3 linked regions of the Arabidopsis thaliana genome follow. The protein of the gene in region 1 interacts with the protein of each later gene in a pairwise test. Each region holds a gene or a part of one and is shown in the gene's direction. Other genes may lie near its edges.

What was found. Proteins that work in one complex are often made in the same cells at the same time.
Region 2: the proteins of CAT6 (region 1) and AT2G18480 interact in a protein complementation assay, tested with the Arabidopsis thaliana proteins (one large-scale study listed by BioGRID).
Region 3: the proteins of CAT6 (region 1) and AT1G66760 interact in a protein complementation assay, tested with the Arabidopsis thaliana proteins (one large-scale study listed by BioGRID).

What each region holds. Positions count from the first base shown.
Region 1 is NC_003076.8:1,375,698-1,384,279, forward strand, and holds CAT6 (cationic amino acid transporter 6), read left to right. Parts: upstream 1-2,923; 5' UTR 2,924-3,420; coding exon 3,421-3,823; exon of another isoform or gene 3,824-3,939; coding exon 3,940-4,508; intron 4,509-4,620; coding exon 4,621-4,852; intron 4,853-5,573; coding exon of another isoform or gene 5,574-5,605; exon of another isoform or gene 5,606-6,059; coding exon 6,060-6,607; 3' UTR 6,608-6,781; downstream 6,782-8,582. UniProt on the Arabidopsis thaliana protein: Permease involved in the transport of the cationic neutral or acidic amino acids.
Region 2 is NC_003071.7:8,007,600-8,014,427, reverse strand, and holds AT2G18480 (Major facilitator superfamily protein), read left to right. Parts: upstream 1-3,150; 5' UTR 3,151-3,184; coding exon 3,185-3,299; intron 3,300-3,434; coding exon 3,435-4,846; 3' UTR 4,847-5,327; downstream 5,328-6,828. Other genes in the region: PERK4 (roline-rich extensin-like receptor kinase 4), read left to right, coding at 6,661-6,828. UniProt on the Arabidopsis thaliana protein: Plasma membrane sugar-proton symporter.
Region 3 is NC_003070.9:24,898,763-24,905,944, forward strand, and holds AT1G66760 (MATE efflux family protein), read left to right. Parts: upstream 1-3,119; 5' UTR 3,120-3,347; coding exon 3,348-3,596; exon of another isoform or gene 3,597-3,674; coding exon 3,675-4,219; intron 4,220-4,415; coding exon 4,416-4,502; intron 4,503-4,588; coding exon 4,589-4,645; intron 4,646-4,738; coding exon 4,739-4,977; coding exon of another isoform or gene 4,978-4,982; exon of another isoform or gene 4,983-5,068; coding exon 5,069-5,274; coding exon of another isoform or gene 5,275-5,292; exon of another isoform or gene 5,293-5,385; coding exon 5,386-5,451; 3' UTR 5,452-5,681; downstream 5,682-7,182.

The sequences.
Region 1 (8,582 bases):
TTTTTAGCCGTACTTGTTTCTTTCTTCACACGTAGTTTACTTTACTTGTTTTTAAAAATGGTTTACACACTTTTTACTAAATTAATTGGATTGCAAATATGAAGTGGATACGTTACGAAGTCGACCAAGACGCCAAGACCGACTCTTCACCAGTATTGAGCCACGTGTCTTCTGCCAATTGTTTTGCGAGGATACTTTTTGGCATCGGACTGGTGCATCTACATGACGTGGCCTCTTGTTTAATCGTCACCTGGCTTTCCAATTTCCAAATAAAATCTACTAAGCTCTTGCTATTTTAAGCTTTTTATCTGCTACCATATGTTTCAAGTTTTGATATTATCTTCAAAAATATGGGAAAATAAATACAGAAAAATCAAAAAAAATAACTGTGAGTATGAAAAATATGGGGCGATTATTGGATGATAAAAAGAAGGTATGAAATTTCTGAATTGAAAAAAATACATAGAAAGGAAATTAGAAGAGGGGATAAATTGGTGAGGTAAATTTTGAATCAAACATTAAATTAACAAAAATGTAGTAAAATAGGGGGAAAAAAAAGTTTTTTTTTTTTTTTTGGAAATGTGTATGGGCTAGTAGCCCAAAAACAAGGAAAACACAAACTATTGGACTGGACTGATCAAAATAGTTAATGAGCGGTTTTGGTTTATGTAAAAAAGAGAATGGGCCTTTTAGATAGACTCTTTAAATAGAATTTGACAATCTCTTAAGTTATCTATTTATGGATAAATAAGTGATCCAACTTTAACTAGGTGAATTTGACAATCTTAAACTAGTAGGGAGTCTCACTCATGAACATTTTACATATTTATTTTTAAAATACTACACTTTCTTGAATACACAGCTTTTTTTTTGGGTGATATAATAAGGTATCTTCAAAAATTTATATATGAAATCAGATCCTAATATCTTGCTTTTACTGAAACCAAAAATTGTGTTTACAAAACGGCTCACATATCGGATTGGCACTCAAAAGTCAAATCACATATTTTGCCACGGATTTTATATAACTTCAAATATATGGAGAATGGAATTTTTGTATTTTTCAATTAGAAAAAAATACTATAGGGAAAACAGAGATGGGCAGGTCTGGCACAGGGCGTGTGAGACGTGGTCGGATTGAGGCAACCTGAATTTTGCATCTTATCTAAAATTCAGATTTGACCATCCCACTCACTGTATAAACCACTCCACATTATCTTTTTTATTTATTTCATTATTACTCTTTTGTGTACCCAAAAATGTGAGACTTATTGGTGACCATACAAGTCATAATTTATTCTTGTCGAAATTAATTTATATATAAATGTATGCGTATGTGTGTTGTAGATACGAATATGTGTCAACGTTGCTGACACTAATCTAATTATCATTATTGTGAACAAAGAGAGGCTTAAGAGTGTTCGATTGAAGTAGATATTTAATACTATTTGTTTGGATAAGGTAGTGTTAATTCAATGCAGTGCGCGGCCAACCAAAAAATAAAAAGATCAATTGCAACGTGTATCCAGTTACGGGTATGATTGGGAGCGATAGAACTTTTACATAAACATACACAAATCATTCTACAACACTTTTTAATCAAGTTTCATAGATGGTTAGATGAGTTCTATTCGAATTAACCTTATAGTGAGTTTTGGTGTGGTAAAAATAGTGTTGATTTTGGATTACATATACACATGCGGTTAGTTGGTGGTGTTGGTGATTTTGGATTTTGGATTTCAGTGAACAGCATCAAAGGCTCCGAGTTCGACCCATGAAAATAAAATCAGTCAATCCATTGCTTCTTCTTCATCTTAAAGCGTCGAGTCTAATGCCGATTTCTCTATGGAGAATACTCATCAGGATCATGATACAACCTGCAAACATGTTGCGTTGCCCTTATCACAGAGAACAGATCACTCATCTTTTTTTTCAAGAACTCACTCATGCATATTACCACTCACACATACTATCAAATAACACGGCACTAACACTAAAACAAATTACTAAGTTACAAACTGTACCAACACAAGATTTGCGGTTATTTATTCCTCTAAGTACCAAACTATTCGTGTCCTCGTTTTAAAACATTTAAATGCAGAGACAAAATCAGTTGAAGAAGACCTTAATTAGCTGCAAATATGCGATAATATTTTCCTAGTAATGCCAAGTTGCCAACTATAAAAAATGAGAAGATTGTCGAAAAGAACCAACTAATTACAAAAACTCATTTCCTCAAATTCTGGTCACGCTTCGCTTTAAACCTGTGTGCTTATCCATTGAAAACAAAACAACATCCCACGTGTCACCTTCTTTGCCACACGTGTGAATCTTAAACCACACATAGCCGTTAGAGGTAACGTCGTTACCGTGTCTTATGATATACGGAAGTTAACGCCGTTTGTTTAGTTTTTTCTTTTTAACGTCCGTGACGGTTTCATAACCTCGGGAACTAAGTAAGGAAGAGCTTTTGAAGCAGAGAGTCGTTACGTTTCAAACAACCGATCATAGTCATAGACACAATTATGGTATTAATTTCATTAATTAGTACTAATTCCCTATCAATTACAAGGAACGCAATTACAAAATTTTGTCTATAATAACATCAATTTTAGACCCTCATTTCAAGGAAAAATGTGGGAATGATTCTCCAATGACATATTTATGATTAAAAAGTTCATTTCTCAGGTTCGAAATATTTTGACCATTTTGAAATATACTAATAATGTTGTTTAAAAACATATCTTATTAGAATGTTTATATGGTGTTATAGTGTTGAGATATTTTTTTTAAATATAAATAATTGAGTACAAATCTATAAATTTAAACAATAAAGAGTGTTATTAACAATTAATGATAAGTAGTAAAAAAAAAAGAATATTCTTCAATAAAAACCGTAATTCATTTTTTTCCTATTTTTTAAAAAACAAAACAAAATAAGATAACCATAGGAAATGCCACTCTGTTACAACTCAGCAGTCTAATGATATTTAATAAAATACCAATTTTAGTGGTTTATGGTCAACAAAAATAGTTTACAAGCTTAGCTAGATGTGAATACATACTATATACTACCAAACTAGTTTATGATTTGTATATGAATCAATAAAAGCGTTAGCATAATTAGTATATATAAATGTAACTGTAATTGGACCAAAGAGATAAAGCATCTTGGGTTTAGTAAGCTTTTGAGCTGATGATGCTTATGTGATTAATGTGAATATAAGAATTAGGGAACAATCTTGTTGTTAATAACAATACTTATAACATTTAAATGCCCTTAAGTATCGTCATAATTACATCTTTGTCCCTATCCTTCTCTTTTTCACTTTTCCTAATCTCTAATATAAAACCAACTCTTGTCAAATTCAACAAAATTCTCACACAAACCGACCCGACCCGAATCTGGCCGGTGAGAAAATGGAGGTCCAAAGCAGCAGCAACAATGGTGGTCACTCTTCTTTCTCCAGTCTCCGCGTCTACCTCAACTCTCTTTCCGCGACGCCTTCTCGCTTATCCCGCCGCGCTATTTCCGTCTCCACCTCTTCCGACGAGATGAGTCGCGTCCGCGCCGTCTCCGGCGAACAGATGCGCCGTACTCTCCGGTGGTACGATCTCATTGGACTCGGAATCGGGGGAATGGTCGGCGCCGGTGTCTTTGTCACCACCGGCCGTGCTAGTCGTCTCGACGCCGGTCCTTCAATTGTCGTCTCTTACGCCATCGCCGGGCTCTGCGCTCTCCTCTCCGCTTTCTGTTACACCGAATTCGCCGTCCATCTCCCGGTCGCCGGCGGTGCCTTCAGCTACATCCGTATCACATTCGGTTAGTCTCCCGCGAAAATCATCACTACTCCTCCGATCTGTTCACGGTTTTCTGAAAATTTTAATTTCAAAATCAAAAACCGTAACTGATTTCTTTTCTGTTACATTTCCGTTCAGGTGAATTTCCAGCATTTTTCACCGGAGCAAATCTTGTAATGGATTACGTAATGTCAAACGCGGCCGTTTCGAGAAGCTTCACCGCTTATTTAGGAACAGCTTTCGGGATCTCAACTTCCAAGTGGCGATTCGTCGTCTCCGGTTTACCGAAAGGATTCAACGAGATTGATCCAGTCGCAGTTCTCGTCGTCCTCGTAATCACAGTCATCATCTGTTGCAGTACAAGAGAGAGTTCCAAAGTGAACATGATAATGACTGCATTTCACATCGCATTCATATTCTTCGTGATCGTGATGGGATTCATAAAAGGAGATTCAAAGAATCTATCCTCACCGGCGAATCCAGAGCACCCCTCGGGATTTTTTCCGTTCGGCGCGGCGGGAGTTTTCAACGGAGCTGCCATGGTTTACTTAAGCTACATAGGATACGACGCCGTTTCAACCATGGCGGAAGAAGTTGAAAATCCGGTCAAAGATATCCCCGTCGGTGTTTCCGGCTCCGTCGCAATCGTCACCGTTCTTTACTGTCTCATGGCAGTCTCTATGTCAATGCTTCTGCCATACGATCTGGTCCGTACTTCAAATTTATTATTTTCTTATTGTATATTTCCGTTTTCATAAAGACGGCACGTAGTCTGAGTCTAAAGCTGAAAACGGCGGGGCATGTGTTGTTGTAACGCAGATAGATCCGGAGGCGCCGTTTTCCGCGGCGTTCAGAGGATCGAACGGCTGGGAATGGGTGACGAAAGTGGTGGGGATAGGAGCAAGCTTTGGGATATTAACATCACTTTTGGTGGCAATGTTAGGTCAGGCTCGCTACATGTGTGTCATCGGACGGTCCAGAGTGGTCCCCTTTTGGTTCGCTAAGATTCATCCCAAAACATCTACGCCAGTCAACGCCTCCACTTTTCTTGGTACGTTTCTTTGTCTTCATTCATTCATCAAAAAAACATTTATTTAATTACTGTCAAACAAACAATGATGAAATATAATCAAATCATATATAGTTAAAAATAAATTTTGGTCCAGAAAGTGAGATAGAGGAGTAGTAGTTAGGTTAAAAGGGGACCCCAATGAGAACCGTTTCGGTTGTTTCCATGATCTTTTTATTGATTTGAACTTTTAACGTTTTCTCTAAATCATACGATCCACGTGATTTCATTATATATACGTGTCCATTTCAATATATTTTAAAGATCAAAAGCTTTTGGACGTTACCATTTTAAAAATCTTCTGCTATCGATTTCGATCGTGACAAGGGCTATGTACGTTGTGTAAGTATATCTCAATGTAGGGACATGGTTCAATGTGATTTGTATCATTGTATGGTGTTTAAGACAAGAGTCACAGAGAGAGCATCTGAGTCCGATTGCTAGATGTCGTTGTTCACCACTGGTTTTCTTTTCTGCTCTGTGAAAAGTTTCGTGTTTTTTGATTGTTCAAAGATTCAATCTTTTCAACGGTCTTGATTGTGATGGATTTGGTGGGTCTCTTTGGTTCTTTTTGTGTCTCCTTAGTGTTAAAAATACATATTCCACTTTTTTTTAAATAAAAATACGATAGTTGGATTATTAGTCATCCATTGGACGACTAGTAGTTAATCAATCATTTTTTTATTTCATTTTTTTTGTGAAGATACTACTAAGCCTAGTCGGCTGATATTTTGACAACTCCAACTTTTCGTAATTTCCGGAACATCTGGCTGAGCTATGCAACTCGTGAGTTGTTAGGTACCAGGATTTAGAATAATGACCATCTTTGATAAAATACATAGAAGATTGGAAAACATATACTAACGTTTAGAGCCATATTTATATGCATAATCTTTGTAACAAGCATTGTTTTCCTCATTAAGTTACTCTCATGCCTTTGTCACAAAATGGATCATTATAAAGGGGGTCATCATCGTTCAACCTTATCCTTGCTAATTTTAGCACCCACTAACTCACATTTGCTATATCCATCAATAGCATTGACAAAAAGACAAAATAAAGGAACAAATCCTCCCACTACCATTCATTTCAAATTTGGACTTTTTTCACTAGTCGAATCATCTACAGTTATAGAGAATATGACCATTGACCAATCTTATTAACGTTCGTATATTTTATCCCTTATCAGGCATTTTCACGGCGGCTCTTGCGCTTTTCACCGACCTAAACGTCCTCCTAAACCTCGTATCCATTGGAACACTATTTGTCTTCTACATGGTCGCAAACGCTCTCATCTTCAGACGTTACGTCCCGGTTGGACCCACCAAGCCGTGGCCCACACTCTGCTTCCTCACACTATTCTCCATAACCTCTCTCGTCTTCACCCTCATCTGGAAACTTGTGCCGGAAGGTAAGCCTAAAGCTTTCATGCTCGGTGCCAGTGCGGTGGTGGCTATAGCCATCGTGCTGAGCTTTCAGTGCGTGGTTCCCCAGGCTAGGAAACCTGAGTTGTGGGGAGTCCCGTTCATGCCGTGGACCCCGTGCGTGTCGATATTCTTGAACATTTTTTTGCTTGGTTCGTTGGACGCACCCTCTTACGTCCGGTTTGGATTCTTCTCCGGTTTGATCGTGCTCGTGTATTTGTTTTATGGCGTTCATGCGAGTTCTGATGCTGAAGCGAATGGATCTTTTGGTGTGAAAGATGGACAAGTCATGAAAGAGCTAATTGAAGTGTGAAAAGTATTTATTTAGTTTAGTTTTCTAAAGCATCATGAACCAAAATGTAATTAAACTCTCTAATTTTTTTTCTACATGAGGGGGTTTGAAATATTAATGAGAAAATATTAAATACAACTTTAGGAAAAAAAAGAATATGTATTTTGGTTTAACGAACGACCAAAATGAAATCGGTCATATGCAAGTCAATCTGTTGAGAGAATAGAGAAACTGATGATATTTTTGTTTTACCGTTGTGTACAATTCACAACACACAATATTTTTAAATACAGTACAAACTATTAGGTTACAAGTTTTTGAGATTGAAAGATCAAATCTTTGTCAAACCTATAAGGCAAGATCACGTATGAAATATACATGTGATAGATAACATTAATAAATGGAAACGTTAGATAGACATAGGTCTCTCATAAATACGAGATGGCGTACAATTGAAAACGATGGGTCCCCATCTTTCTCACGGGACACACATACGTGACATTATCCGCAACTTCATATATATCCAACAAGATCACCTTTTCTTTTTCATTTTTTTGTTCACAATCACTTGTTTCAAATTCCTTGAGGATATTTATACATTCTTTTATTATTTGCATTTATATATTCTATATATCAATAGTACTATTGAACTTTCGTAAACAAAGAACCATGCACAAAAAGTTTCAGTTTATTAAAGATGTCTTCATTTTTCTACTTTTATTTCTTATCAAGTATGATTTAGTTTATCTTATTGATTTCATAAAGATGAATGTCTAAGGTAGGATCGAATATGTGATCTCAATTAGTATAATCAGTCCAATTATTCTTTTAGTGAACACTACCAATAGGCAATAATTATGTGAGTAATTTAGTTAGGATAACATACATAATTACATTTTTATATATTTTGAAGTGGATGATATAAATCTCGAATCTAAATGAACTGTGTTTAAGTGGGAGACGACACTTGCTTGTATTCTCTCTCTTTTTGGTAACTATATTCGTAAGGATGGGGTCCAAAGAAAAGCCCAATATTTTCAAGATCGTCACATTGTTGGAAGCTTTATTTTTACATTATTTATGGATTTGTTTATAAGAAATATTCTGCCAATAAGAAGATGTGATTCTATTGGCAATACAAAGATTTGATGTCTTTCTAGAAACCCCACTTTACTCAAAGTAATGAGTTCCCTCTGTAAAAGGGTTCAACTCTAAGCGTGATCAGTGCTTCTTTTTAAAACTTTCCTTTATCCTAATTACAAACCTTAATATTGGATTCTACATTGGATTAACTACCAAAATTTTGACTTTTGAGGTTTACAAAAAGACAACATGTATTTTGTTTAACAACGGCCATGAAAGAACCTATTTTCTTCATTTTTTTTTTTTTTTGGTACAACCTGTCTAAACTAACAAAATATCTTGGATTTAGGATCATTATTATTGCATTATAATTATCGGCTATCAATTTCTGAAATGCACTAGAGTAAATGAAGAAAACTAGAGCTTAATCCTTGATTAAATAAATTATATAGAACACGGGACCACGAAAATGTCAACCTCTTATAAACCATTCAAAGCAAAATCTAAGGCAAGTTGTGTAGAAGATAGAGTGAGCCCATTAATCCATAGCTATATAGGTCTAATCAATTATTTCACTTTTTTGTTGACATTTTTATCACGAAATTTTTTTCCGACTTCTCATGAGCTTTGACATTCGCTTAAAGAAAAAAAGATCTTTATGTATAAAATAGTGTTTTCCAAAAAAGAAATCATAAGAGGAAAGATAGGAAGAAGGATAAGACTTTGATTCTCACCAAACAGCGAAGTTTTTGGCAACTTGCAACACCCTCCACATTTTAATTATCCAAATAAAGTTAAATAAAAAGTTAAACTTAGACATTCTATTCCATGATGTTAAAATCTTGTCGTCAAGTTGGTCTTACTCATATTTCAACATTCTTAATCATACAAATACGGAATCGCAAATCTTATT
Region 2 (6,828 bases), on another chromosome or scaffold:
CATTTTGAATTGCGTCCATCACTTCATCCCACTTACAATACTTTGTCCCCTTAAATCATTACAATATTTTTGTAACCAAATAACTAAATCTTTAACCGGACTGCCAAGTGCCAAGTGATCTCAAAATCAACAAAAATTTGCATTTTCTTACTTTTTTTTTTTTTGAACGACATTGTATTTTCTTACTTAATCTGAAGTTATAGATAACTAATAAAGTGTATATCAAAGTTTTTTTCAATGTTTAAAAAGACGCGAACACATCTAACTGGAAGTGTGCCTCTTGTCTTACGGATGTCCTTCTAGTAGAACATCTATAAAAATCTGAAAATCTTTCGGAAAAACAAAAAAAAAAACTTACAAATTGTTTTCCATCTAATCACGAACTTGATCATCAGTTCTCGTGATGTTGGAAACAAAAACTCAAAATATCATCACTTCATGTGCATTTGTACTAACACATGCATATCAGTGATTCGTTGGGTTCTTCAATTTTAGTAAAAAAGTTTTTTTTTTATCAAAACCATTTCTAAAAAAATTCAATTAGAAATTACGATAATTTTGACAAAATAAGGGCTACTTTCATTATTTATTATTTATGAATTTTGAAAAAATCCTAATGTGTTGACATTGTTCAAATAAAGAACTAATAAAGTTTTAGATGGAAAAAAAAAAGAACTACGTGTTTTTTTGGTGAAACTTTTGAATAAAGTAATAAGACCTACCCATATGATGATCTAACCTACCCAAGTTATCACTTGTATCGGAAAGTCCCCAAACTTATCTTTCTGGTTGTGTCGGCCAAATGTATCCCAACTAATACACACAATTTCACTTTGAATTTCTCTTTCTCTTCTTCCAGAAGATTTCTCCTTCTATCGTTGACCTAAATGATTGATCTGTCTTGGTTATTTTGTCACACGATGTGTATGCCAATCAGCTTTGGACTACAATGCATGTTAAGGTTCGTACTAAAAAAAACTCAGCATGAAGAATGTTGGTTCGAGGACTTAAATTCTGATCTGACGTAGCTAGTCTATCGATTATCTGCCTTTAAACCAAAGCTTTTTGGATTAAAGATAGGTAATCCGTGCGTTGAAGGTATATCATTTTCTTACCCAACAAATTCATTTAACCTCATAGTATAAATTTCGTTTGGTTTTGATTTTTGATAGCGACAATATATGCCTTTTCAATTAAAAGTGAAAAGAAAAAAACGCATGCCATTTACTTGTTTGAGTAAGTTACTCATTATGGTATATGCTCTTCAAGAAAACAAATCAAATACTACTTTTTCGTCACGTATCTTTCTTTTTCAGCTCACCAAAATATAACTTTCAAGGAATCATATCAAAACTTTACTATTTACATGGATTTTGTGCATTTGCATAATTTACGTATACAAATCCCAAAGGTTAGCGTTTTTGCCAACTATATATATAGATACTAGCTAGATGATTATCCAGATTTACTTCTTCTTTTTTAATAATATATATATCGTATATCCATTAAATGTGTAAACCTTTACTTCTAACAGATTTAGAGATCTATAAAACGTATACACTAAGAATTATTTAGAAAAACTAGAAGTTTGAAATAAGTTATTGTCTCTCTAATACACCAATATTGCTTCTTATGTTCATTACAATTTTACAAATGTATGCTTACCAGATTACAAAAGCATGTTGAAAATTCGAAGTTATGATACCAATTTATTAGTAGCGAATGTAAAAAAGACTAAACATAAATTGGACGTAGTCCACCAAGATATATAATGTTATAATTAGCGGGGTAAAATATTGATTTAATACTGGAGGCGTAATAACATCTTGTTTCAGAATTCCAACAACGTACGAGTAAGAAAAACAAAAATACAGTTCTCAACAGACTAATTGGACGTAAAACTCTAGGCCAGCCAAACTGACAAAGCATATGACAAAAATATAAATGATAGAATTGGCAATTTCAGAATTTTCCATCGATCATGCTAAAATGAACATTAGTTGGAACCCAAAAACATTTTTGTTTATCTTGCACATACAAACAGAGCTATAGGTTACGTTATGACTTATGATGTTCTGATTTATTGATCAAATCACACATCAGTTTTTTCCCAACAGATATCAATTTCATTATGTAATGATACATATAGTCTGATAGTATTATTCGTCTGTTGAGAACAACGGCTTTTTGTTGGATACAAGTTTTTTTGTTTCGTCAAAACAAGTTTAATTTTGGACTTCATCACTTCAATAAGAAAAAGAAACCAACTGAAAATAAATGCACCGTATAAATTTAGTTCACCAAATTATATAAATGTGGAAAAGAATCTTTAAAGGTTACGCCACTATTGAACATAGATCAGGAAAATGCCGAAAGTGAAGAAGATGGCGACTTTTAACTTACAATATTAGCAATATTTTTGGTCATATCGTATTAAAATTGATGACCTACCATTTAAAAATGGTGGATATAACTTCTTCTAGCATATGTTACTATAATGAATGATCAATTCTGAATTCTCATACATATGACTTCACAACGGAAACTTTTTGCTTTAGAGTTTCATAAATAGTTTACGACATACAATTTTTCATGCATTCCACTCACGAGAACAACTTTATACGTAACATGCAATTGCAAAACTACAATAATCGGGTTTACATGTAACATAGCATCTAATAAAAATCTTCACTTCCTTTATTAAAAAATAATAAAAATTGAAAACAAGAAGACCAAGTTCAAGTTCAACGAAGGTCGTCACAAATTATTTGAAGACCGTGTGCGAAACCATTTTTTAAACTCATTGTAACCTTTTAATTATTATTTTAACTTACGTATGTATTGGTTAAAACTTAAAACACTTGCCTGATTACACTACTTTTTTTTTTTGTTGGAAATCTTTTCAATTTATTTTGCTCGATATACTTCTCAGGTTGTATACGTCTAAATCTTGAGGAAAATTCATATCTTGCAGAAATATAATTCTCGTACCAGAATACGTGGGCACCCACAAACACTGTGGAACAACAGTAGAAGTTTTTGATCGTCATTGTTCCACTATGGATGCAAGTGGTGGACATATATAGTTATGTGTATATATATACTAGTAAATGCACACAATCGATATAACAAGTTATTCTAAAATTTAACCCAAAAAAAAAAAAAGAGAAGAAAAAGACTCAACATGGTTCATGCTGATGGTCATAATTTTCCCGGTTCGGATCCAAACCCTCATATGAACAAGTTCGCTTTCGGGTGTGCCATTGTTGCTTCCATCATTTCTATCATCTTTGGATATGGTAACATACTAACATTCTCTACATATCAAACAAAAGTTTTCTACATATATCATATAAAGATATATTCAATGGAATTATATTAATGATTTTATATTAACGAATATTTTTTTTTTTGTAATGGTGTGTTGTCCTTAGATACGGGAGTTATGAGCGGAGCTCAGATATTTATAAGAGATGATCTAAAAATAAACGACACTCAGATTGAAGTTTTGGCCGGAATCTTGAATCTTTGTGCACTCGTCGGATCACTAACGGCGGGGAAAACGTCTGACGTCATCGGCCGACGTTACACCATAGCTCTCTCCGCCGTGATATTCTTAGTGGGCTCAGTTCTTATGGGTTACGGCCCAAACTATCCTGTTTTGATGGTCGGACGATGTATTGCCGGAGTTGGTGTAGGGTTTGCTCTCATGATAGCTCCGGTTTACTCTGCCGAGATATCCTCTGCGTCACATAGAGGCTTTCTCACTTCTCTACCTGAGCTTTGTATTAGTCTTGGGATTTTACTAGGCTATGTCTCGAATTACTGTTTTGGGAAACTGACGTTGAAACTTGGATGGAGATTGATGCTTGGAATCGCAGCGTTCCCGTCTTTGATATTGGCTTTTGGGATTACAAGAATGCCCGAGTCGCCGAGGTGGCTTGTGATGCAAGGTAGGTTAGAAGAAGCCAAGAAAATAATGGTTTTGGTATCCAATACGGAAGAAGAAGCTGAAGAACGGTTCAGAGACATCTTAACCGCTGCGGAAGTAGATGTGACAGAGATAAAAGAAGTTGGTGGCGGCGTTAAGAAGAAGAATCACGGTAAAAGTGTTTGGAGGGAGTTGGTGATAAAACCGCGACCTGCGGTGCGTTTGATCTTGATAGCGGCCGTTGGGATACACTTTTTCGAGCATGCGACGGGGATTGAGGCCGTCGTGTTGTACAGCCCGAGAATTTTCAAGAAAGCCGGAGTTGTTTCGAAAGACAAGCTCTTACTAGCCACGGTCGGTGTAGGTTTAACTAAGGCCTTTTTCATAATAATAGCCACTTTCTTGCTCGACAAGGTAGGTCGTAGAAAGCTCCTGTTGACCAGTACGGGTGGGATGGTCTTCGCATTGACCAGTTTAGCGGTTAGTCTCACGATGGTTCAGCGATTTGGGCGGTTAGCGTGGGCATTGAGTTTAAGCATCGTCTCTACGTATGCATTTGTAGCTTTTTTCTCCATAGGGCTTGGACCTATCACATGGGTGTACAGCTCCGAGATATTCCCGTTGAGACTTAGGGCTCAGGGAGCGAGTATAGGTGTTGCGGTTAATAGGATCATGAACGCGACGGTCTCAATGAGTTTTCTGTCGATGACGAAGGCGATCACGACAGGGGGCGTGTTCTTCGTATTCGCCGGAATAGCGGTGGCGGCATGGTGGTTCTTCTTCTTTATGTTGCCGGAGACGAAAGGATTGCCATTGGAGGAGATGGAGAAGCTTTTTGGTGGTGGGGGTCCTCGTGGTGATCGTGACGGACTTGAGATTCAAACTAAAACCATCTCTATTGGGGGTTTCTCATAAGAGTTTCTCACAATTAAAAAAATAAAAATAATAAAAATGAAGGAGAGAGAGTGTAGAAAGATTCTCAGAAACTTTGAGATACTCTCTACAACCCATCATGACAATTCGCTTCTCACTATTGGTTCAACTTTTTAACAAAAATATTTTTTTAATCAAAAATTCAAATTATAATATAATATTAATTTTTTTTTGTTTGAGAAACTTTGTGGGTTTCTCATGGATGGAGATGCCCTTAGAGAGTCAATAATTAGGTTAGATTATCATGGCTATGTAGAATAATTTTTAAATCCAACATGATTTGGCATATCTATTATAAGGTGTGATTTTTTGTAAAGGACAAAGTATGATTTTTATATTCATCCCTTTTTACTGTAGCTAATGAGAATCTACAACCTAATAAAAAACAATAACAATTATTTAATTATAAAATCTAATAGTTCACCAAAACAAAATCATATATCGGTTTGGATTTATAAGAGAGGGTTAAAGTTTAAATTTTATGATTAAACGAAGTTAAATACCAGTTTAGGTTTATAAACGATTTTAGATTTTAGAATCAAACGAGGTTAAATGTCGGTTTAGAGTTATAAACGGGTTTGGATTTTACAATTAGATGAGGTTAAATGTCGGTTTGAGTTTTAGAAAGAACGATTTAAGTTTAGATTTTACAATTAATCGAGTTTAAATGTCGGTTTGGATTTACAAAATAGAATTAGAGTTTAAATTTTGTAATTAAACAAAATTATATATCGGTTTGAGTTTATGAAATAGTGGTTAAGATTATAGATTTTATAATTAAATGAGTTTATTTATTTATTAGGTGACATATTCTAATTGGCTGAAAGAGGTGAATGAAAAGGTGAACCAAGAATTGTTCGATTTTTAACTACACATCTAATTCTAGACTCTAGAGTATGCATATTAATGTTTCCAGAGATCAGAAAGTGCTTAAACAAAACATATTGATCACTTCATGGTTTTTAAGTCTTAGTTTAATTGATGGAAAGGAGAGGATTACCAATACTGAAGTAGAGTCATAGTTGATATTTGAGGGGTGAGAACCCTGAGATTCGTAAAGAAATCGATGAACTTGTGCGTGAAGAAATTAGTTTGATCATGCTCAAAGGTCTAAATAATAAAAAACCTTGACATTTGTTCCCAATTGAAGTCCTTTAATTGTGAGAAAAATTATGTTGCTCTAGAGCAATATTGAAGAAAAAGGAGACATATCACATATGGGAAGACCTGAGGAGCAATGATTTGATTTGACGGACCAAAATAAACCAGAGATTTTCCTGACAAATTAAGGTAATAATGCATGAGGTTACGTGGAAATGAATCAACAATCGTTAGCTCCTAATATCACGGAGCCAAAAAGAGAAAAATTAGACCGGAGATTATTACAATTAGTAACTAACACAAAACTGTTATTAAGACAGAAAGAGAGAGAAGAGGCATGTTTCTCGGAATGAAGACAGAGCAAATCTCAATCTTCCTTTTTCACCTTATTCCTATTATCATTTTCTGATCAAATGTTCAAAAACTCTCTCCCCTTAATCTCTTCCTCTAAGGTACACACTTTCATGCTAATCTCTTAACTAATTTTGTATTAATCTCTTATATTTAGCATTACCTGTTTTGTTAACGATCTAACGAACATAATAAGACAAGAACTTGTTCCAACGTTAACACCATTTTGATTATGATCTGTTTTTTCTACGTGTTGTTGTTGTTGTTCTCAGAATAATTGAGTGGTTAAGGGAGAGAGGAGACGGAGAGTTTTTATTTTCGTTACCGGAAAATTTTGATCTCCGATGGCTTCTTCTCCTGAATCTGCTCCTCCAACAAACTCCACCTCTTCTCCATCTCCACCGTCTAATACCAATTCAACCACCTCTTCTCCGCCGGCTCCGTCTCCTCCTTCTCCTACACCTCCTCAAGGAGACTCATCATCATCGCCACCTCCTGATTCCACATCTCCA
Region 3 (7,182 bases), on another chromosome or scaffold:
ATGTATATAATGTGTGAAGCCAAAAACGATTGTAACATTTTTCTCTGATCTTAGGTATTAATACGAGAATTCAATTTTTTCCGACAATTTGTTGAAAGCTTTCTCTGTCAACAATAAAATGAACGTGCATTAAATACCAAGGTTGGCTCTATCTAAGAAGCCAATTCGGTTAACCAAAGTATTTCTAGAGGGTTACCTAAATTAACCAAAAGAAATCCGGGTTCGGTTTTGGTTAGTGTAAAACTATTTGTTTTTGTACATTTTCTCATGAAATTGCTTATTAGTACCATATCTCCGTACCAATTTTTTTTTTTATTATTACTTTAAGAGTCTCACTAAGCAATTACCCATGAGATAACATGGTGTACCGCAATAATACAACGTTACCTATGAAACTTCGAGTAGTTAGAAAGTTTTGACAACACCTTTAATTTGATTTGAAGCATGCAATCACCAAATCTCTAGTAACTACTGTTCAAAGGTTGCTTATAGTGTGGCCGAGAGGTATGCCATCATCGACTTCACTATTCTTCGCGGAAACAACTCTTTTGCGATAGATCTCAACTTCACCAATCGGATCTCTTTCATCGATTAGATTGATAAAGTTATTCCATGTCAAAGGAAAAAAACAAAGAGATAGTTGGATTATCAAGATGCATGAAGTATGTGGAGTGCTTTTTTAAACCAAGTGAACGTAAATATGAATTTGTATACATAATACATGTGATTAGAGTTAGTTTAACATAAGTAAAAAAGAAAGTTGAAACTATCAAAATGCTCTGTGTAAGTATTAATTATTTCTTCCAACACACGATGTCAGAAGTCAGAACCGATTATTAATACTTTTCTCAACAACTTCTGTTTCTTTATTTATTTTTGATAACTTCGACGAGGATAAGTAAGAAAATGGCTTCCTCTTTTTCAGTGTGTATAATGCAGTTCTTGACTGGACTACTCTCAATTGGATATCACGGATTGTGAATACATATTCTCGGTTATAACTTTTAACTTTATAAGTTATACTTTTATTTAGTTTCACAATAAGTGTGGTTTAATTCTTACAAGTTTGTATCAAAATAGGTATTGTTTTATATTTTGAATGTAGTTACAGTATTTGGTGAAATTGCAATTCTATTCTTACTATTTTAATGTATTGACCAATAAAAAAAAGTTGTATAATATATTAATAAGAGATAAACAAAAAAAATGTTTTTACTATATGTGAAGAACCTGTAAATGACATTGTGAATACATATATTCTCGGTTATAACTTTTAACTTTATAAGTTATACATTTCTTTCTTTTCACAATAAGTGTCGTTTTAGTGTTAAAATTTTATTTCAAAATAAGTATTGTTATTATTTTTAGTGTAGATATTTGGTAAATATTCAATTTTAATGTATTGACCAATTATAAAAAATTGTATAATATATTAATAAGCGATAGACAAAAAAATCTAATTGTTTTTTTACTATATGTGAAGAACCTGTAAATGACATTTATACTAAAACGTAAAAAGTATGTATGATATATTGAATCAAAAATAATACTAGTAATCAGTAGTTAAGTTACATCTATTTTGTTAACGAAATAGTAAAAAAAAATGTCATTAAGAGACGGATTTATTATTGATATCAAGTAGAGCAAAATTTGTTTGTTTAGAAACACAAACAAAATCTTAACTTTGGCGGTTTAGTCTGACTAATTTCAAATTTATGTTGTGGAGTATATAAAGTCGATAGTACTTTTTAACAATGATTTTGAAAACTAAAACTTTATGTTATTGGAGTATTATCATGGATTGGAGTTTTTGTCAATGAATTAACATGGAGATGTGGATTAGGTTAGGTTCATCGAGATATGTATTTAAAGTTGAAACATGTGTTTTATTATTATTCTTTTCATTTATTTATTTTTTTCTTTCTGTCGGTCAGTATTGAAACATGTGTTTAGTTTCATTTGTCCTCTCAGGCCTCAGCATGTCTAGTCTAGGAGTATTCTTTATGTTTCAAAATATAAGAGGTTTTAGTTAAATATGCAGATTAAGAAATATCCATTTTTAAAAAAATTCAACCATTCATAAAAATATCATATAATATAAATAATTATAAAATATTAAATTAATCTATAGTTATGTTACACAATTTACATAAATCACGCTGTCATGAGTAGTCTTTTTCATATATCATCTATTGACAAAATAACAATTTATCTTGTTGTTCTTTTGAAAACTAGCTATTACTACATATATTATACATTTTTTTTCTCATAAGTGGTTTAACGCTGACAAAAAAAATCTATTGTAAGATGGTAACCACTGAAAGCCATCTTAGGTTCAATACTTAAATAAATGATATGATATTAAAAATATTGATCATGGACCGATGTTTATCGATTTGAGCCAATGCAATCAATACGAAGAGAGACTTTTATTCCTTATTCTTTAGAAATGTATATCTCATTTTATGACTAATTAAATAATAACTGATGATCAGTATGTGGTTCTATACATTTAAAAATCTTCTAATTCAGTTTTTTTTTTTTTTTTGGTATCGATGTTAAGTATTTATACCGTTTTCAAGTTTGAGACAGAATACAGAGTAAACAATAGAAGCAAAAAAAAAAAAAAAAAAAAAAAAAGGGAGAAAGACTACGACTAAAGGAACTACGAATACAAGAGATAACACGATAAGAAACACAAAGCGAAGCAACTAGTAAAGGCTTGAAGAGGAAACACCGATTCTAATTCAGTTTTCATATCTGTTTGATACTCTTAAGGTATTATATTGTTCTGTGTTCCAGTTCTATCTCATGCTAATCAAAAATATTGTTAATACCACTCTTGCCTTTTTCAAGAACCGACATGATTTTTAAGTTTTAACCACAAATGTATTTGATTGGTAAAAGGTTCTAAAAAGTTTCAACAACTCACAAAGCCTTAAAACTGAACCATTCATGTTTTACTTTTCTTTTTAAGGCTATACAACCAAAACAAACTTTATGTTGTCTAATTAATTTCTCTGGCATAAAAAAAAAAAAAGACTCCACAACTAAAATCTTTTAAGTACAAACTACAAATAGGAACCAATTATTAGTTACTAGTTAGGATGCATCTTCTTCTTACACGTGCTGAATTCTATCTTTTGACTTAAATGAGTGAGATGATAAAAGTCGAAAACGATTTCGCTTTTATACGCGGAAGCGGAAACGTGTTTATTTTCTTTTCTTCGAGTCGCGACGTCGCATATATTATTTATCAAAATACAAATTTTATTATATCAAAATCATAAAGCTAAATAAATACGACACAACTTCCAACATTTTCTCTAACCAGAAAGAAAAAAAAAATGAAGAAGAGTATCGAAACTCCGTTATTGTTGAACACCAAACAATCACAAGACGAAGATAAAGAAAAAATAAGATGGGAGAAGATGAAGAAAGTTGCTTCAATGGCTGCTCCAATGGTCGCCGTGAACATGTCTCAATACCTTCTTCAAGCAACTTCTACAATGATCGTCGGTCACCGGAGCGAACTCGCTCTCGCCGGAATCGCTCTAGGAAGCTCCTTTGCTAATGTTACCGGCTTTGGTGTTCTTGTAAGCAAGTATATGAACCTTTATATATATATATGTATTGGATTAATTTGTTTCTAATTATTGTTGTATACTATATAGTTTGGACTTTCAGGTTCATTGGAAACACTATGTGGTCAAGCATATGGAGCAAAACAATATCACAAGCTTGGATCTTACACTTTCACTTCAATAGTTTTCCTTTTGATTATCTCTGTTCCGATTTCGATTCTTTGGATGTTCATGAACCAGATCTTGCTGTTGCTTCATCAAGATCCTCAAATAGCAGAGTTAGCTGGTGTGTACTGTCTCTGGCTGGTACCAGCTTTATTCGGTTACTCTGTTCTCGAGTCGTTGGTTCGATATTTTCAGTCACAAAGCTTGATTTATCCAATGGTCTTGAGCTCTCTAGCTGCTCTGTCTTTCCATGTTCCTCTCTGTTGGCTAATGGTTCATAAATTTGATTTTGGAGCCAAAGGAGCGGCTGCGTCTATCGGTATCTCTTACTGGCTCAACGCGGTTTTTCTTTGGGTTTATATGAAACGCTCTAGTCGTTGTGTCGAAACGCGGATTTATATGTCCAAGGATGTTTTTGTTCATACAAATATCTTCTTTCAATTTGCCATTCCTTCTGCAATGATGTGTTGGTAAGTATGTACAACTTTATTAAAAATCCATATAGAATTAACCAAGTGATGGTAGTCTAGTGGTGGTCATTGTTTTGTGGATAGGTGAAAGATTTAAAATCTTAGGTTACATAAATAAATGTGTAATGGATTTTTTTTCCCTTCACTAATATTCTATTGACACTTATTTTCTTATTGCTCTTGCTTCCTTCAATAGCCTTGAGTGGTTAGCTTTCGAGGTCATTACTTTGCTGTCTGGTCTTCTACCCAACTCAAAGCTCGAAACATCGGTTATTTCGATTTGGTAATGTATCGAACCGCAAAACTATATAATCTGTGATACTTATATTTTCTTTCATTTTCTAAGCCTTAATTTTTGGGATTGAGCAGCCTCACGACCTCTTCATTGCATTACAATCTAGTAAATGGAATTGGTGATGCAGCAAGGTTTGTTCTTACTTTAATACTCTTACATCGAATTTTCACTTCATTTTATTTTCGAAGAATTAATGTTTCATTTTTTTTTGTTTCGTTGGTTAGCACCAATGTGGCTAATGAGCTAGGAGCTGGGAATCCGCGAGGGGCTCGTGATTCTGCTGCGGCTGCAATCATAATTGCAGCTGTTGAGTCAGTTATTGTGAGCTCTAGTCTGTTCTTGTCTCGCAGTGTGTGGCCTTATGCATATAGCAATGTGGAGGAAGTAATTAGTTATGTGACTGATATCACTCCTATTCTTTGTATCTCAATCCTCATGGACAGCTTCTTGACCGTCCTCTCCGGTTAGCCTTTCTTAACACGCATCTCCGGTTTTGCAACCATGTTATTATTTTTTTGTGAACGTGAACCGAATATATGTTTTGTTTTGTTTAGGGATTGTGAGAGGAACAGGGTGGCAAAAAATTGGAGCTTATGTGAACATAACCTCTTATTATGTCATTGGTATTCCTGTTGGACTTCTATTGTGTTTTCATCTTCACTTCAATGGGAAAGGACTTTGGGCTGGTTTAGTCACAGGATCAACATTACAAACTCTAATCCTATTTCTTGTTATTGGATTTACCAATTGGAGCAAAGAGGTGATTGTAACCGCGTAACTCGCTTTTTTCTGTTTCTAATCCATCATTCGATTTTTCGAGAAATCGAGCTAATATTTGTTTACACATTTTTTCTTCAATGAAATTTTGCAGGCAATTAAGGCTAGGGAGAGAATTGGTGATGAGAAAGTTTGGAGACATGACTCATTGCTTAATTGAAGAAAAAAAGAAATACAAACTTTTGGGGGATTTTGATTGCTTCTTTTTTTGTGTGTGTTTGTGCAATAACCTTCAGTTGATTGTAATTTATATTGAAAGTACATTATAGTCTTTCATATGATATTAGAGTGTAAGAAAGTTTGAAAATATATCTCAGTTAAAAAATGATCTGGTATATAATAGATGAATTAAAGAGTGACCAAAGTTGATTGGTTCAAGCTTAAAACTTCTATACTATAAAGTCTATAATACAACTTTACGTGGCCAAAAAACAAATAATGAACCAAAGAGAGAGTATCTTGAAAGGATATACTCAAAGAATTAAAGAAGTCAAAAAGCAAATTTGAATACTTTCTCCGACAAGAGATGCTCATAAGAGTCAAGGTGAGTAGGTAATTGTTATGGCAGAAAACACGTGGAAGCAACGACACGTCATACATAATATTGAAGATTAACAAAAAGTTAAATTAAATCAACATCAATCCAAGAAACAAAAATGTATGGACTTGCAAAATCAGTTATACAATGAGGTGAATCCAGCCTCGCAGAAGTCCATGTTCAAGTCCAGTTTTGCACCAATATAGTATATTGGTTTCATGGACGTAAGAGTCTTGTCAAATGAATCCAGCCGCGCATCAGTCCATGTTCAAGTCCAGTTTTGCACCAGTAAATTGGTTTCACGAACGTGAGAGTCTTGTTAAATGAATCTAGCCTCGCTTCAGTCCATGTTCAAGTTCAGTTTTGCATCAAGATATTGATTTCATGAACGTAAGAGTCTTGTCATGGAACTCCTAACAATAAATAGATTGACCCATATCATTTTTATATTACGTTCTCGGTTACATCACACTTTTAATGTTGGATTCCTGATACGCCTGCTCAAGAGGAGGGGTTTTCAATTATATTTCAATTGAACCTCATTCTAAAACTAGCAATAAACCCAACTTGGTATTGAAACTTAAATTTTGGGATGTTACGTTGGACATTTTTCCGAAAACTAATTTTCGGCAAATTTGTCACTCGAAACTACATTGAGAACGTTGGATTCATCTAATCTACAAGCACTATCTTTGTAGTTTGTAGATTGTAGTGTATACTCAAACGTAAAATTTGAGGTTTGTTTCTGAGTGAGAAATGGATATCCAAAGTTGGGTATATGAAATACACAAAATGGATAAAGTGGTTTTTGTACATATTGGAAGTTGGAGAAAAAAATCTGCTAGTATATAAGGTGAAGGTTTCATGTCCAAGGCTTGTGGCCTTCTTTATTTTTTTTTTGCTTTTTCTTTTTTCAAAAGGCTTGTGGCCTTGTGTCACCATATTTGTGTAAGTAGGGGAAGGAGCTAATTCTCTTGATGCTTGGACGGGTGGGTTAGGTTGGGTCATTAGATGGGCTTGGGACTAAATTTTCTTTACTTAGATTCATTTTGTATTTGCTTCTCTCAATCTGAACTTTTTATATTTAACTTCTCAATCCTTATGGAGAGCTTCTTGACTGCACTCTCCGGTAGCCTTTCTTAACCATCCTCTCCGGTTTAGGAGCCATGTTTTTAATTTTCTTGGCCATGAACAATATGCCTCATTGTGTTTAGGTAGTGTGAGAAAATTGGAGCTTATGTGAACAAAACTTCTTATTATTTCAGTGGTATTCCCTATTGGACTACTTTTGTTTTTTTCATCTTTCCACTTACACTTTAATGGGAATGGGCTATGGGCTGATTTAGTCTCATG